3 linked regions of the Mus musculus genome follow. The protein of the gene in region 1 purifies or fractionates together with the protein of each later gene. This does not show direct contact. Links are inferred from orthologs where the notes say so. Each region holds a gene or a part of one and is shown in the gene's direction. Other genes may lie near its edges.

What was found.
Region 2: the proteins of Rbbp7 (region 1) and Bcl11a purify together in Homo sapiens (affinity purification with mass spectrometry; 4 studies listed by BioGRID and IntAct, counting the BioPlex papers as one, with this or other methods). This does not show direct contact. The link is inferred for Mus musculus from reciprocal best matches to the Homo sapiens genes RBBP7 and BCL11A.
Region 3: the proteins of Rbbp7 (region 1) and Brms1l purify together in Homo sapiens (affinity purification with mass spectrometry; 4 studies listed by BioGRID and IntAct, counting the BioPlex papers as one, with this or other methods). This does not show direct contact. The link is inferred for Mus musculus from reciprocal best matches to the Homo sapiens genes RBBP7 and BRMS1L.

The regions. Positions count from the first base shown.
Region 1 is NC_000086.7:162,757,307-162,764,430, forward strand, and holds the start of Rbbp7 (histone-binding protein RBBP7), read left to right. Parts: upstream 1-3,065; 5' UTR 3,066-3,385; coding exon 3,386-3,401; intron 3,402-3,542; exon of another isoform or gene 3,543-3,857; intron 3,858-4,268; coding exon 4,269-4,413; intron 4,414-7,124. UniProt on the Homo sapiens protein: Core histone-binding subunit that may target chromatin remodeling factors, histone acetyltransferases and histone deacetylases to their histone substrates in a manner that is regulated by nucleosomal DNA.
Region 2 is NC_000077.6:24,161,556-24,165,055, forward strand, and holds part of Bcl11a (B-cell lymphoma/leukemia 11A), read left to right. Parts: intron 1-1,590; coding exon 1,591-3,500. UniProt on the Homo sapiens protein: Transcription factor. Associated with the BAF SWI/SNF chromatin remodeling complex. Binds to the 5'-TGACCA-3' sequence motif in regulatory regions of target genes, including a distal promoter of the HBG1 hemoglobin subunit gamma-1 gene.
Region 3 is NC_000078.6:55,858,771-55,865,794, forward strand, and holds part of Brms1l (breast cancer metastasis-suppressor 1-like protein), read left to right. Parts: intron 1-1,320; coding exon 1,321-1,417; intron 1,418-2,317; coding exon 2,318-2,401; intron 2,402-2,619; coding exon 2,620-2,684; intron 2,685-4,363; coding exon 4,364-4,403; intron 4,404-7,024. UniProt on the Homo sapiens protein: Involved in the histone deacetylase (HDAC1)-dependent transcriptional repression activity. When overexpressed in lung cancer cell line that lacks p53/TP53 expression, inhibits cell growth.

The DNA.
Region 1 (7,124 bases):
AACTGAAGCTTGCTGTTTCAGCTAGGCTGGCTTGCTGGCTAGGGAGCTCCCAGGATTTATCTGTCACTGCAGTCCCCCACCCCGCATTGTTGTGACACGGCAAGTGAAGACACGTCCTGAGCCTGCTGAGTGCCGGGGACTAAAACTCAAAGTCCTCTCGCACAGCAAACACTCTTATCCACTGAGGCATCTTCAAAGATCCGTAAACAGGACCTGTCTTAGTTAACAAAACCCACGTCTCACGCCTAAAACGAGTTGTACTTTCTTTCCACTAGGACTTAACCTACAGAGGAAAAACAAGGAAATAACCACAGAAAAAGCGCCAAGGAAGACCAAGAGCACGGCTAAGAGCCTGGGGAGACAGGCAAAACAAAACCGAACAGTTAAGCAACTCAAAACAGAAGACTGGTGTTAGATTTTTATGGGGGGAAAAAAACACACAAAAATAGATTAGTACCAATGTATTCAATTTAACAAAAACAGTAAAAAAAAACAGTTCCAGCAGGAAGTGGTGATGGACACTTGTAATTGCAGCATCTGGGGGACAATGAATTCAGGAATTCAAGGCTAACCTTGGCTACAAAGTAAGTTTGTGGACAACCTATCCTAAAAAAGAGGCCAAAAAAAAAAAAAAAACAAATTCCAAAGTTAATGAAACATGGTTTCTATGAACCTTTCAGATTAAGTGTACAATAGCATGTGAATAATCTCAAAATTCCTGAAATGTCTGTCCCTCCAAGCTTTCTTCTCAACGTCTTGAAGGTAAACTAAAGAGTATAAAGAATTTAGTTGGGCAGTGGTGGCGCACGCCTTTAATCCCAGCACATTGGGAGGCAGAGGCAGGCAAATTTCTGAGTTCGAGGCCAGCCTGGTCTACAGAGTGAGTTCCAGGACAGCCAGGGCTACATAGAGAAGCCCTGTCTTGGAACAGCCCCCCCCCCCCCAAATAAAAGAATTTAGTTAGCTGGGAAACTCAGGTGAAGCACATTTGCCTACCATGTGCAAGGCCCTGGATTAGATATCCAGGACTGACTAACACACACACACACACACACACACACACACACACACACACACTCGTCCTCTACTCGACCCCCCCCCCACCTCTGTGTGTACACAGTTTAAACTAAATTCATATTGTCTGGGAAGAGTTACTTGTTTTTTGTGACAAGGTTCCTAGGCATTCCAGGCTGGCTTTTGAACAAAGATCCTCCTACCTACCTACCTCCAGTTTCCACGGACTGGGATTACACACCAGGTTCGCTCAGTCCTTTAAACGTTTATTTTAGAAATCATAACTACTCATCAAAATGAGCAAATTATATTACTGACAGGAAATCACCTCTCAAGTCTTCTCTGAGTACACATAGTTCCTGCTGAAGCAGAGCTGTAGGACACAATTATTCTAGAACAAGGTGGACAAGCTCCAGTCCTTTAAATCTCGCCCACCAAGGGGCTTTTGCATGGCCCTGAAGCAAAGCATGATTTTTTTCATTTCCAAGTGATTGAAAAAAAAAACACAGAGAGAGAATATTTTGTGACCTGTGAAAAGTACACAGAGTTCAGATTTCAGTGTCTATAGTTTTGCTGGAAGATGGCCAGGCTTATCCATATTTTCTATGGCTGTTGTGTTACAACACCGAAGGCTGCCTGACCCCTGTCAAAAAAAAAAAGTTTGACCACCAGTGTTCTAGAACTCGGAGGACCCATGCTACTCCACTCTTCTAACCGCCCCCCTCCCGCCTCCAGCCACCTCTTCAGCGTTAGTCACCAGCAAGATTCTTGGAGCTGACATGGAGGGAGGGCGTTATAATAATGAATTGTACCACATGGGAAAACAAGAGACCCAAGACAGTAAATTTCTATATAAGGGAACGTGACTGTTTCTGTCACATACTAGAGTAACGTCTGAGTTGGTTTCTCGATCAGAAAAGAGAGCATCCTCGAGGCCTCTGCATGGTTGCGTTTAAGCATGAAGGCACTTGGAAAGCTATCAAGGGAACAAATGTTCCGGGGGTGTTTCTGCAAGGAGAGCCTCTGAGTTTAGATGTAGACTGTGGTTCCCTTTAAGCGTAGGCGCCTGGGCCCCTCTGCTCTGGCCCTCTTTTTCTCCCTGGGATCATGTGGCTTTCTCTTCACCCCCCCCCCCAAGGCTAAAAAGCTTCAGAGAAATGCAGAGCTCAGGTATGCAGGCCTAGATTAGCCCAGCCCAGCTCTCTCCAGTTCAGCAGCCAGCTGCAGGGTCAAAATGGGACCCCTTCAGGTGACAAGAATGACTCAGCAGGGGCCTAGGCAGGAACTGAGATAGGGAAGCAGTGGCAGGCACAAAATCCCCTGCAGCAGCAGGAAGCTAAAGAACCAGTAGGTTAAGGACGCACAAAGGTGAACATACAAAAAGTCATTTAAGTCAACTTTCGACGAGGGGCGGATTGAAGGCCTGCGCCATCGCAGGCCTTAAATAAAGGTCTGCCCAGCTTCTGGGAGAAAAAAGAAAAACCCGCCCAAGGTCTCTCCTAAAGGTCCCTTTCGCTTATGACAAATGTCACCAGAGCTCGACTGGGCCCTCGATACAGTTGAATGGGGGAGCCTTTGAGGGGTGCAGAAAACTGCGTGGCCGTGATTATCTGGGAGACTTTGCGGGCAGTGTAATCTCTCGAGACCAGGAAACCATTTTCCTCACTGGCTCTGAGATTTTGCTTTGCTAAGGCGGCTGCAGCTTCCCTGCCCCCCTCGCACACCCCCGCCGCCGCCGCCGCCGCCGCGGCTGCTGCTTTAAGCAACCACGCCCCGCGGGCCCCAGGCTTCTTGGCCCTGGGGCTCGCAGCCCCCGCGCAGCCTGCACACCGCGCTCGCATCCGCCCCACCCCCGCGCGGGCCCAGCCGCCCCCGCGGCCAGCCTGGGGAGTGACGCCTCGCGCCTGCGCCTCGCCGACTTCCTGCCGCGGAACGCCCCACCCACTCTCGAGAAGCCCACCCCCGGAGAGCGCGTCAGACCCTCCCGTCGCACGCTATTGGTCCAAGCCGCCGAGCCGTTGGCTCCCAGGCCCGCCTCTTCTCCGCCTCTCCAATTTCCCAGGGCGGCTGCGCCTGCGCTCAGCTGCCTGGGCGGGCTGAGAGGCGCGGGTTGAAAAGTCTCGTTCCAAGTTTGGCGAGAGGGAGAGAGAGGAGAGCGGCTCAGACCTCGCTACCCGCCAGCGGGGAGGAGGCAGAAGAGGAGATCGCGGCGTCTGGGGGGAGAACCCAGACGGCCAGACCGAACTCAGGCTTTTCCGAGCGAGGACTGCGTGACGTGCCTGGGAGAGGCAAGGAGCGCCTGCCGGGCTGCTCTTGACTAGCGAGAGAGAAGTCCGAGGCGGCCAAGGGGGGCGAAACGACCCGACGCAAGATGGCGAGTAAAGAGAGTAAGGATGCCTGCCCTGTGGGGCGGGCGGGCGTGCGGGCGCCGGGACTCCGGGGGGCTGGCGGGCTCCCGAGGCCTCGGCACGCGCTGACGAAAGGCGCGAATTGGCGTGAGGAGCAGGGGGCGGGGCTGGGCGCGAGACTCGCCGCGCGCCTGCAAGGGGGCCTGCGCGACACGGGGCCTGGTCGCCGCCGAGGGCCGGGAGCATTTCCGGAGCCGGGCGCGGGGGCCGAGAGAGAGGCCCCCCTTCCCCCACCCCCACCCCCACCCCGCGGCCTAGCTCCCTCCGACGCCCTTGGCTCGGGGGCGCAGGCGCTCGCGGCCCGAGAAGTCAGCGGCGGGCGCGGATTCTTCCGTGCGCGTGGTCGTCGTCCGTCTGGGGTCGCGGCCCGTGTCCGTGTCGGGAGGGGGGGGAGGAGCTGGATCCCGCCGGACTATGGCTGCCGATCGTGGCTTGGTGGGGAGCTGGGGCCTCCTGCGAGGGTGGGGGGTGGAGGGAGCAGGCCTGTGGGCTGCTGCTGTTCCACGTGGATTGGATCTATTCGAGTGGGTCGGGGCACCGGTTTACAATGCGGATCATCGTAGAACAGGTGCGAGCGGCTATAAAAAGGCTGACGAGCTCGGTGGTAGGGCAATTAATGACCCAATTCGGGTAAGCGCCGGAATCCCGATCTTGGAAGTGGAGGCGAAAACGCTTCCTGATGTTGATCTTCTCACTTTGTGGGAGAGCAGTTCGTGTGAGCAGGATAGGTAAAAGGAAAGAATAGATAAGGTGTGGCCGTCTCGAGGTGACCTCCAGGATCCGTAGCCATGCCTTTGACTCCGAGCCTTCTCAGCCACTTAATTGTGGGCTTTCTCCAAATTTCAGTGTTTGAAGATACTGTGGAGGAGCGTGTCATCAACGAAGAGTATAAAATCTGGAAGAAGAATACACCGTTTCTGTATGACCTGGTTATGACCCATGCTCTTCAGTGGCCCAGTCTTACCGTTCAGTGGCTTCCTGAAGTGACTAAGTAAGGGTTTCTGCCAACTTCTATTTTGTGTAGATTTAAGTACCATGTTAAATTTCTAGGTATTGTTAATGTTATTTTACACACAGAACATAAATACCTAATTGGTTAGGCCGAGGGTGAGGCGGCAAGTGGTTGTTCAAAACTTAAGATGGTTTCTATCGTAGAGGTGTGTTGAGAGGAGAGAATATTGTGTAATACTGTGTATAGGAAACGATGACTATTTTGCCATTCCATGACCAACATCTCTGGACTCTAGATCAATACATTATTTTCAAACTTAATAGGAAAGATTACATACATAACAAATTAAAAGCTATTATGGCTTGATGCATTAAGTGATTTTCTTGAATATTTGTAAGATTTGGCATAATTACTGATATTTATGGAGCACTTAGAATAATAGAACCTGACACATCTGAAGAGTTTAAGCCTCATAACAGAACTACTGTTGCGATTCAGAGATTTACCAGTGAGGAAAGGGGATGAGAATTTTAAGCACGGTGCTCAAGCGCTCACTACTGGCGATCTCATAGCTTACAAACTAGGGCTCAACCAACCAAAACCGGTTGGCTCCAGAATCAAGGCACTTCCTTCACTAGACTACCTTTAGGTAGGCATGTACCTTTTTTTTGTAATTTTTTTAAAAGATTTATTTATTTTTATTATATGTAAGTACACTGTAGCTGTCTTCAAACACTCCAGAAGAGGGAATCAGATCTCATTACGGACGGTTGTGAGCCACCATGTGGTTGCTGGGATTTGAACTTCAGACCTTTGGAAGAGCAGTCGGGTGCTCTTACCAAGTGAGCCATCTCACCAGCCTGGCATGTACTTTTTCTATAGGAATATGGGCACATACCTTAAAAGTATATTGATTTTTTTTTTTTGTCTTTTTTTTGTATAGTGAGCCTATAATTAGGGTCAAATGAAACTAATATACAAGGAAGAATTTGTGACCAGTGGTAAAAAGAAGCTAGTTTTAAAATCACTTGAAAGGGCTAGGTTCCATATATGAATATTGACCTTCCAGATGTGGGCTTGCTGTCTCAAAATCTCATGTTTTTTATTTGCAGGTTTTTTTATGTTAAAATTCCATTTTAAAAATCTAAATGTCCAGTGAGAAGAGTCTTGAATTGCTACATAATGGGGGCTTATAGGCATTGATTTTAATTTTTTCAGCACTGGAGGTGGTTCAAACCCAGGGCCTCAGCATAGTAGGCATGTGCTCTGTGGCTAAGGTGTTTTGAACAGATTCTAAAATAGACTGAGGGTTGGCAAGGTGGCTTCGCATGGTAAGGCACTTGCTTCCAAGCCTAAGAACATGAATTCAGTCTCCAGAACTAGAAAGCATTGACTCCTGCAAGTTGTCTTTTGATCTACACATGTACACTGTTGTAGACATGCATATCCACACACAATAAATAAATAAGTAAATAGAATAAAAATAGAATGAGCTGGGTGTGATGGCACATGGGTATAATTCTAAGTTATAGGCCTGCCTGAGGTATACTCATAAGACCATGGATTTTTGTTTTTGTTTTTTTAAGATTTATTTATATGAGTACACTGTAGCTGTCTTTAGACACACACCAGAAGGCGGCATTAGATCCCATTACAGATGGTGTGAGCCACCATGTGGTTGCTGGGGGATTGAACTCAGGACCTTTGAAAGAGCAGCCAGTGCTCTTAACCACTGAGCCATCTCCAGCCCCAAGACCATATTCCCCCCCCCTCTTTTTTGAGACATTGTTTTTTCTGTAGCCTTGGCTGCCCTGGAAATAAACAAATACACATACACACACACAGACACCAGGTTGTCCACTAGCTCACAAAGATCCACCTGCCTCCCAAGTGCTAGTATTAAAGATGTACCCTACCACCACCTAGCAAGACTGTGTTTCTCAGGAAGACAAAAAAATCCAAAGGGCAAAGGAATAAGTTAAGTGGTTAAGAGCACTAGCTGCTCTTACAAAGTACTTGGGTTTCTGATTCCCAGCGCCCAGCTGGTATGTCAGCCTTCTGTAATCCAGGTCCTAAGAGATGATGCTCTTCTCTCACTTACACAGGCCTGAGGCAGAGAAAACACTGCTATACTTCAAATCTTGAAAAAAATTAAAGAATAACAACAAAAACATCAACCTATCTATTAACAAGGGTATTCAGGTTCTTTGGAATTTTGCTGCATTTGTCTTTTTGTTTTTCTGTTAATTAACAATTATGAACAGTTTGGTTTTTTTTTTTTTAACCTTTTTACTTAACTGAAGCATGATAGAGGCTTTTTTGAATTTTTTAAAAGACTTATTTTTATTTACATTTAAAAATTTTTTTTTGGTTTTTCCGAGACAGGGTTTCTCTGTATAGCCCTGGCTGTCCTGGAACTCACTATGTAGACCAGGCTGGCCTAGAACTCAAGAGATCCACCTGTCTCTGTCTCTGCTGGGATTAAAGGCGTGTGTCACCACTGCCTAGCTTTATTTACTTTATGCATATGAGTACACTGTTGCTGTCTTCAGACACACCAGAAGAGGGCATCTGATCCCAATACAGATGGCTGTGAGCCACCATGTGGTTGCTGGGAATTGAACACAGCAGTCAGTGATCTTAACCACTGAGCCATATCACCAGCCCAAGAGTGGGAACTTGGATGTCAGAGACTTAGGTTTTGCCAGTATTGCCTTTGCTTATTAGCTTTGTGTGCAGGTTGTACACTC
Region 2 (3,500 bases), on another chromosome or scaffold:
AATTACAAGGTCAGGGCAGGAGTCCATTATTTAGACAAGCGCTTGAGCGAGGCTGGCTTGCTTTGGAATATGAATGTTTGGGGCTCCTGAGAAGACCTTGGCAGCTTTTCTTTCTGACTTGCTAAATGGAGGAATCATATAATTGATGAATTCCTTGTGCCCACTCCTTAGCTCCCTGGTGAATTTTGTTCCATTGAAAAAGTTACTTAGGAATGCTAGCTATGGGTTAAGGGACTGTTCTAGCCTCACATAGGGGAGAAAGTGTATTTCTCAGTTATACTTTAAGCCCTGGCATTTTTTTAAAGTGTCTGGGACATTAGCTAGACTCATCCTTGTCCCTAGGCCATTGTCTCTTCTACATCCTTAAATGTTGCAGTTGGCTGGTAAACTGTTGGTTACTCCATAAACCCCATATATGTGTGTGTTGGGTTCCTTAACATACATATATATAGCTACGTACATATATGGGAATATATATTTAAATTTAGCTATCAGAAAAAAAATGAATGAATTTTGTGAAGTCAAGCCGGCCACCTCTTTGCCAAAGTGGCATTTACCACTCTTGGGTTCTTTTCAGTAAGAGAGAAACAATGTGACTTGAGCAGGGCCCCTCTCCAGACAGCTTGGCCACTGGCCAAAGAGTTGACTAGCTGAACTGTATCTTTCTGTTTCTTTCTCAACTGGAGCCTAGTCTCAGCCGAGGGCGCAGGATGTTGTATAATTTGGTTCACGTTGTTAGCCTCTCAAAATAATGAGGCTGCGGCTAGGGTAGCATTGCTCAGCCTGCCGCCTGTCATGGTGCTGGCTGCCGCCACTGCTCCTACAACCAGCATGCTGGGTCTGCTGAAGTTGGCACCAGCCACTCCTAACTTCTCTACTCTCTCTTTTGTTGAACTGGGGAGAATGCCTAAGGATTCAATACAGCTTTTCAGTTAAATCAGAATTACATTTTTCTTTTGAGATTTTAATCACAACACCCCCTTGAGATTAAACATGGAATTATAGGATGTTAAGGAACCCAAGACAGACCAACAATTAGTGTGTTTCCAGTTGAACCATGTAGGGTCAGAGAATTATATTGATTTTTGACCTTCTTTTTGATATCTCTATGCAGTAATATTGCCTTGTTAGAAAGTTAAGCTCTCCTGCGACCCACAGGAAAATGGACTAGGACCAGAGGAGTCAGGGTGCAAACGTTTTCCTGCGAGACATCAAACTGACTCTGGCTTTGGCCTTGTCTCAGTACCCCATTTAACCAATGAGACAGTGGCACAGAGCTGAAATGACTTGCTGAGACCCCTAGAATGGAGTGTTCCTTTTAACTGAGCCTGGACCAGTTAGGACTTTGTGCTATGGGGCTTGAATATGGAACTCTTGGAACTGAGTAAAATGTCACCAAGACTACTAATTTGACAAATATTTATTGGGCTCCAGACATGGAAAACAGCACGTAGGCACCAGGGTAGGTGGGTGAAGGCTGAGGCTTACGAGATGGGGCCAGGAGAGGCTGGTTGTTGGAACATGAATAAGCAATTGCTGATGCCTGCCTCAATGATTAAGCATTGATGTTGGTGTTGTATTGTTTTGCAGGTAAAGATGAGCCCAGCAGCTACACATGTACAACTTGCAAACAGCCATTCACCAGTGCATGGTTTCTCTTGCAACACGCACAGAACACTCATGGATTAAGAATCTACTTAGAAAGTGAACACGGAAGTCCCCTGACCCCGCGGGTTGGTATCCCTTCAGGACTAGGTGCAGAATGTCCTTCCCAGCCACCTCTCCATGGGATTCATATTGCAGACAATAACCCCTTTAACCTGCTAAGAATACCAGGATCAGTATCGAGAGAGGCTTCCGGCCTGGCAGAAGGGCGCTTTCCACCCACTCCCCCCCTGTTTAGTCCACCACCGAGACATCACTTGGACCCCCACCGCATAGAGCGCCTGGGGGCGGAAGAGATGGCCCTGGCCACCCATCACCCGAGTGCCTTTGACAGGGTGCTGCGGTTGAATCCAATGGCTATGGAGCCTCCCGCCATGGATTTCTCTAGGAGACTTAGAGAGCTGGCAGGGAACACGTCTAGTCCACCGCTGTCCCCAGGCCGGCCCAGTCCTATGCAAAGGTTACTGCAACCATTCCAGCCAGGTAGCAAGCCACCCTTCCTGGCGACGCCCCCCCTCCCTCCTCTGCAATCCGCCCCTCCTCCCTCCCAACCCCCGGTCAAGTCCAAGTCATGCGAGTTCTGCGGCAAGACGTTCAAATTTCAGAGCAACTTGGTGGTTCACCGACGCAGCCATACTGGTGAGAAGCCCTATAAGTGCAACCTGTGCGACCACGCGTGCACACAGGCCAGCAAGCTGAAGCGTCACATGAAGACACACATGCACAAATCGTCCCCCATGACAGTCAAGTCCGACGATGGCCTCTCCACAGCCAGCTCCCCGGAACCTGGTACCAGCGACCTGGTGGGCAGCGCCAGCAGTGCGCTCAAGTCAGTGGTGGCCAAGTTCAAGAGTGAGAACGACCCCAACTTGATCCCAGAGAACGGGGATGAGGAGGAAGAGGAGGACGACGAGGAAGAAGAAGAAGAGGAGGAAGAGGAGGAGGAGGAGCTGACGGAGAGCGAGAGGGTGGACTACGGCTTCGGGCTGAGCCTGGAGGCTGCACGCCACCATGAGAACAGCTCTCGGGGCGCAGTGGTGGGCGTGGGCGACGAGGGCCGCGCCCTGCCCGATGTCATGCAGGGCATGGTGCTCAGCTCCATGCAGCACTTCAGCGAGGCCTTCCACCAGGTCCTGGGCGAAAAGCATAAGCGTAGCCACCTGGCCGAGGCCGAGGGCCATAGGGACACTTGTGATGAAGACTCGGTGGCCGGTGAGTCAGACCGCATAGACGATGGCACTGTTAATGGTCGTGGCTGCTCCCCCGGCGAATCGGCTTCGGGGGGTCTGTCCAAAAAGCTGCTGCTGGGTAGCCCCAGCTCGCTGAGCCCCTTCTCCAAGCGCATCAAGCTGGAGAAGGAGTTTGACCTGCCCCCGGCCGCGATGCCTAACACGGAGAACGTGTATTCGCAGTGGCTCGCTGGCTATGCGGCCTCCAGGCAGCTCAAAGATCCCTTCCTTACTTTCGGAGACTCCAGACAATCGCCTTTTGCCTCCTCATCAGAGCACTCCTCGGAGAACGGGAGCTTGCGCTTCTCCACACCGCCCGGGGAGCTGGACGGAGGGATCTCAGGGCGCAGCGGCACAGGAAGTGGAGGGAGCACGCCCCATATTAGTGGTCCGGGCCCGGGCAGGCCCAGCTCAAAAGAGGGCAGACGCAGCGACACTTGTGAGTACTGTGGGAAAGTCTTCAAGAACTGTAGCAATCTCACTGTCCACAGGAGAAGCCACACGGGCGAAAGGCCTTATAAATGCGAGCTGTGCAACTATGCCTGTGCCCAGAGTAGCAAGCTCACCAGGCACATGAAAACGCATGGCCAGGTGGGGAAGGACGTT
Region 3 (7,024 bases), on another chromosome or scaffold:
AGCATGAACAACTTAGTAAGATTCTGTCACAAACTGAAAGTCAAAGCTGGCTGCTATAGGTCAAGTGGTAGGCACTTGCACAGCATGTACAAGGCCCTAGGTTTAATCGCTGATATGAAGTTAGTGAGGGGACAAGCCGCTAACAGAGTCACAAGCCACTCACCACAACATTACTTCAAGTCAATACTGGAATATTATAGATATGAGCATCTTACGAAATCTATCATAAGACAAGACTTCTTGTGGGGAAAGTTGGGGAAGGCCACACACACTCTTATAGGTAGCAGGTCTGTGTGTCGATTGTGAGTTCTTCTGATACAGATTGCAAATTTAATCTGCACAAACCTGAAGGTTATACTGTATGTATCTTCTAGTGGTTTGTTTATCTATCTACCTATTTATTTACTGTCCATTTTATTCATGGATTTATATTTTTGTGGTACTTAGGATTGAACAAGAGCCTTTAACATGCTAGGTAAGCACTCCCCATTAGACTTCATCCTCTCCCCGTCTTGTCGGTTTTAGCAAGTGAGTCTGATGTAGTTAATCTATCCTTTTATACCTGAGTTATCATACTACATTTTTGTAAGTCAATCTATTGCTTTAGTATATTCTAACTGAAATATATTTATTGAGTTGCTTTAAATGGCTCTAAAATTTGTATCTAAATATTTTTTGCGATATATTGCTGTATTTAATATGATGTAGATACAGTAAAACCCAATATGATCTATTTTACTTAATTAAAAATTTTATTTATTTTTTTTAATTCGTGTGTGCGCGCTCCTGTGCGCATGTGTGCATGCGTGCGCGTGTCTGTGGAGAGCATCAAACCTCCTGGAGCTGGAGTTACAGATGGCGTTGAGTTCCTAGCTGGGCGCTGAACCTGGGTCCTCTGCAAGAGCAACAAGTGACCTGAGCCATTTCTCCGGCTTCAATTTAGATATTCTTAAGCAGGATGCTATTTTACTTAGTTAAGTCTATTTTTATAACTGACCCCTGGTTTTATTTCTTTTATATACTGAAAATTTTTCTTCAAAAATTTTAATTTGGGGGCTAAGATGTAGCTCAGAGGCGAGCACTTATCTAGCATGTACACACCCTTGCTTCAATTCTCAGAACAGGGGTGTGTGGTGGGGGAGGCAAAAATAATTTAGAAAAATGAAAAAAGCAAATGCAACAACCATTTATTAAACCAAACCAAAAACCAAAACCAAACCAAAGCCACCATATATTAACGTATGCTAAATCATTTGGTATTGCTAGTTAAGATAAACTGGTATTTCTTTCTTTTCACTTAAGTATCATGTTTCTTTCCAGAGTGAAAAGCTTTTGTTATATGATACAGTCCAGAGTGAGCTTGAGGAGAAGATAAGAAGGCTTGAGGAGGACAGGCACAGCATCGACATTACCTCAGGTCAGGGCTGCCGTGTGATGTGGTGTCCCCAAAAGCCTCAGTCTTCTCCAGTGGATGCTATGCAAATGCAGTGTCCTAGCTGGAGGGAGCAGGGGGGACTTCGGAAGAGCGAGATGAAGTAGAGGTTGTTCCTTGGATTCAGAGGCACACTCTAGAAAAGGGACAGACCAGCAGTGTGACAGGAGCTAGCCACGGGACTTGCTGGAAGACAGCTTCCTGTGTTCTTCCAGGCGAGTGGGTAAATGTTTCAGGGCGGTAGGTGTTTGCCTTGGAGAAAGGAAACCCTGCTGTGATGATTAGACCCAGTCAGTGTGAAGTGTGGCCATTTCAGGATGACTTAGGGAAGTTTTCTGTTGGGCACTGGCAGTTTTACTAGATTGGCCCACAGTTCTTGAGTAGGTATTACTGGTTTTGTCTTGATTTTGCTTCTTTGCTATAGTTGGGGCAGATGTGGTGAGATCAGTGTGGGTGCTTTGCTCATGAGTTAGGTGTCTGTGGACAGTTGACTAGTCTTTCTAAGTGGGTGTCCTTGTATGGAAAACTGAGGTAAAAAGCATAGCTACACCTACCTCAGGGCAGCCACTAGAGAGACGGCTCAGAGGGGAGGCGCTTGCCTCCAGGGCGGGCAACCTGAATTTGATCCCCAGCACCCATGCGGTGCAAGGAGAGACCACACCCTCCTAAGCTGCCCTCTGACCTCCATGTGTAAGTTGTGGTGTGCAAGCGTGCAGGCAACACACGCTATGTATAAGTAAATACGTGTAAAAAAATGAAAAGGAACCACCTCTGAGTGCAGTTCCCTGGAGATTTGTATGTAAAGAAGCAGTAAATGTGAAAGTCTGCGCTGCCCGTTCTTCCTGTGGCCGCTGGAAAGGAGCTCACGCGCTGATTCCCTTGCAGAGCTGTGGAACGACGAGCTTCAGTCACGGAAAAAGAGGAAGGATCCGTTCAGCCCCGACAAGAAGAAGCCGGTCGTTGTCTCAGATATCCTTTCCGCACTCTGGGTTTCCACACTGTGGAAACCATTTCGGCACGGGGTGGAGGGGACACGGCGGCTCATGGTGCACTGTGGTCAGTTTGTACAGGCGCTTTTGAGGCAAGGTCTTGTATGTAGCCCAGGCTGGCCTTGAACCCATACTCTTCCTGCATCAGTTCACTGGGTCTGTGATGTTCTTGCTGCAAGTTGACCTTGACGCCTCAACGTCCATATATAGTTTATATGCTGCAGGATCTCGACATTCTTGAGGACTGGACGACAATTAGGAAGGTATGGTTGGCGAATGGTGCGGCAGAAGTGCATTTTTAAAAAAATTTTTTTTATTAGATATTTTCTTCATTTACATTTCAAATGCTATCCCAAAAGTCCCCTATACCCTCCTCCCACCCTGCTCCCCTACACACCCACTCCCACTCTTGGCCCTGACATTCCCCTGTACTGGGGGCATATAAAGTTTGCAAGACCAAGGGGCCTCTCTTCCCAATGATGGCCGACTAGGCCATCTTCTGCTACATATGCAGCTAGAGACATGAGCTCTAGGGGGTACTGGTTAGTTCATATTGTTGTTCCTCCTATAGGGTTGCCCTTCAGCTCCTTGGGTATTTTCTCTAGCTCCTCCACTGGGGGCCCTGTGTTTCATCCTATAAATGACTATGAGCATCCACTTCTGTATTTGCCAGGCACTGTCATAGCCTCACACGAGACAGCTATATTAAGTTCTTTCAGCAAAATCTTGCTGGCATATGCAATAGTGTCTGGCTTTGGTGGCTGATTATGGGATGGATCCCCCGTTGGGGTAGTCTCTGGATAGTCCATCCTTTCGTCTTAGCTCCAAACTTTGTCTCTGTAACTCCTTCCATGGGTATTTTATTCCCTATTCTAGGGAGGAATGAAGTATCCACACGCAGAAGTACATTTTTATACTCTGCCTTTTAAGAGTATATCAATATATGAAAATGAAATTGTTGGAAATATGCTTTGCTTAACATGGGCTGTAGAATATTGTAAGAATTAGAGACATGTCAGTAATTTGTATTTTTTCCTGTAATAGTGTATCAATTTATACAAGAGTATGGAATAGCGTATGTTTAGTTTGCCTAGAGTGTTAGGGTTCAGAGCTTTTCTGTTTCTGGTGTATAGAAGGCACCTAGTAAACATTTTTTGAATGAATGCATTGAACCTATGTGCTTTATATTATATTAATAACTATTGAGGTGTGACTCTTTGATGCTTGTTTAAGAATGGAGCTGTGTATCTTGTCATCTTTTTACTTTTTATTTATTTCTATTACCATTTTTATTTTTTATTTCACTCAGACTGCCCTAGAAGTCACTTGGTAGCCCCTGTTGTCTTTGAACTTGAAAGCCTCCTTTCTTGGCCTTCTTGGGAATTGGGTTACAAGGTTTGAGGCTTGCTTTCCTATTAAAAATTCTCATTTTGGGGCTGGAGAGATGGCTCAGTGGTTAAGAGCACTCACTGCTTTCCAGAGGTCCTGAGTTCAATTCCCAGCAACCACATGGTGGCTCACAACCAACTGTAATGGGATCCGATGCCCTCTTCTGGTGTGTCTGAGGGGAGTGGCAGTATATTCACATACATAAAATAAATATCTTTAAAATATAAAAAAATTGCCATTTTTATAAATTGTCCAGGGAACATATTTCAGCTATTAATAGTGGCTATGGAAGGAGGTGTTGTTTATGACTTTAGGTACCGTTAGCCTGGAGGTTGGGGTGACTCATTCTGGCGTGCTTGCCTGACTTGCTTGCCTAGCATGTGTGACGCCTTGTGCTCTTCCCCTATCACCAGGAGAAAACGAGAACAGCCAATGTTTATATTTTATTCTGTTAGCAAACTAATTGAGGACACTGTGTGTATTATAAATCACAAAATCTGTTTTCAGTCTGAATCCAGATTTCTTTCTCCCCTTCCCCCATCTTTTTTCTTAGGCAATGGCTACACTGGGTCCACACCGAGTTAAAACAGAACGTAAGTTATGAGTTGTGACATGTTCTGTGGAGAACTGTTCAGTCAGGGTGGTAAAATTCCCTGCATATTGAAGAGGAACCCGGTAGTGGTTCCGGTGGCCAGCGACCTCTGTAACTGACATGAGGAGTCAGGAGTCTCCTGCTTCCAGTGCTGACTGTGTCTTCTTTCTGTCTTTGTTGTTGTTGGTTTGGTTGGTTGTTTTTTTTTTTCGAGACCGGATTTCTCTATGTAGTCCTGGCTGTCCTGGAACTCACTCTGTAGACCAGGCTGGCCTCGAACTCAGAAATCCTCCTGCCTCTGCCTCCCAAGTGCTGGGATTAAAGGCGTGTACCACCACTGCCCCACATATTTTATTTCGAAATAGATCTTTTCTAAAATTATGACCTGTTTGCTGTTGACTCCTGAGTGCTAAGATGATATATGTCTTTTTTAACCTTTTTATTTTTTTATAACTCTAAGACAACTGCCCAAGTTGTAATGAACATTGGTATCTATGGGTTTTTGTTGTTGTTGTTTATAGATTTTTTTTTGTAATTCTTTAGTAGATTATAATGGGATTATAATGGGGTTAGATTAAAAATATCTTTTAAATATTAAGGAAGAGAATTTCTTATTCCATTTCAAATGTTTTTTGTTTGTTTGTTGTTTGTTTTTTGTTGTTGTTTTTTGTTTTTTGGGGTTTTTTTTTTTTTTTTCCGAGACAGGGTTTCTCAGTGTAGCCCAGGCTGTCCTGGAACTCATTCTGTAGACCAGGCTGGCCTCGAACTCAGAAATCCGCCTGCCTCTGCCTCTGAGTGCTGGGATTAAAGGCGTGTGCCACCACGCCCGGCTTCAAAAGTATATTTAAGAGATATTTATCTTTAAGAATGTTCTAATTATTTTTTCCTCTCTCAATGGTTCCTTTAAACTTTATTTCACATTAGGAAATTACACCTATATACTGCCCTTGACTGGAGAGTCAGATGCCTAAGTCTCTAGAATGTTTTGAGTCATTAATTTGGGGGGAGGGGTGTGTGTGTGTGTGTGTGTGTGTGTGTGTGTGTGTGTGTATACATGTGGTTATGTGTGTGGGTGCATGAGTGTGTTTGTGGTGCTAGAGATTTGTCCTTGATGGCTTTCTACCTTACTTATGGACACAAGTTTCCTTCTTGAGTAGAGTGTTGATTCTGGTAAGTCTGGCTCCTGTGAATGGCCTGGGGAGCCCTAGTTTCTGCTCCCTGTGCTGGGATTACAGGCTGCTGCTATGCCTGCCTGGCTTTTATGTGGCTTCTGCTCCTCAGACTATTGATTAACCGCCATTGGTTAGAGTTCCACCACCCAGCGGAATGGCTCTGGTTTCCCGCCCGTGTTTACCTTAACTTTGTACTGCGTTTCTTTATGATACTCACCGCCATTTGTACATTTTACTTTATTTTTAGTGATGATAAATTCCACAATTCTTTTTAAAGAATAAAGTATTGTGCTTGTGCATATGGTGGTTTTTTGGGAGGAGAGAGAGAGAAAGAGAGAGAGAGAATGAGAGATAGATAGATAGATAGATAGATAGATAGATAGATAGATAGATAGATAGATCGATCGATCACATGCATGCCATGGCGCACATGTGAAGAGCAGAAGATAGCTTTGAGAGATGGTTCTTCCCTTTCACTTGGGGTTTGACATCAGACTCAGGTTACGAGGCTTGTATGGCATGCGTGTTTACCTGCTGAGCCGTCTCACTGGCTCTTGGCACTTTTAAACTAACTCTCTACTTGTTTGACTGCCTCCTGACTGGATTATAAGCTTTCTGGAGGCTGGCTTCTGTCTCTTTTCTTAGTCTTCCCTCAGCACCCAGCACAGCTCCTTGTGCATAGGATGGACTCAGACATGGAATGAATGAATGAATGAATGAATGAATGGCTGTAAAACAAGCACACCTGTACGTATCACTACTTCCTATCTACTAGAGACGTTTTTAGGGTCTTGGAGAATTAGTGGGGAAGGAGATAAACTGAGAGCCTCCTTTCAGGAGGTGGAGTCCTATGTTTGAGACTCAGTGAGTTAGTATCAGATGGTAACGAGGATTATGGAGTCCTTGGCAAGTTGTGTTGGTGATTTCCTAAGAAGGGACAGTATGAATGGTGAAGGTGCTGCTGGTGTGTGGTGTGATTGTGACAGTCACATGGATGTGTTTCCATAAGGAACATGTTTTCCCTGCAGTAGTTTACCTACTCATGCCAAACCATTCTGAGAGTCGGAAATGCTGTTCTACTGTGGATAGTTAAAGTTCTGGAGACTTCTCATTAAACATTATATTCTGCTTTTTTCCAAGTATGAGATGCCTTATACGGGAGATTTGAAATTACTTTTGGAATATAACAATTTGAAATTTTCAGGGCTGTTTAAAAATGGTGCTGGTATTCAGTCACCCATGCGCTTGCCTACCCTTGTGGCCCTGCTTCTCTATCAGTCACCCATGTGCCTGCCTACCCTTGTGGCCCTGCTTCTCTATCAATCAGTCACCTATGCGCTTGCCTACCCTTGTGGCCCTGCTTCTCTATCATCACCCATGTGCTTGCCTACCCTTGTGGCCCTGCTTCTCTGATTATTGCTGACCTTTGTTTGTGTTGGATAGTAAACGA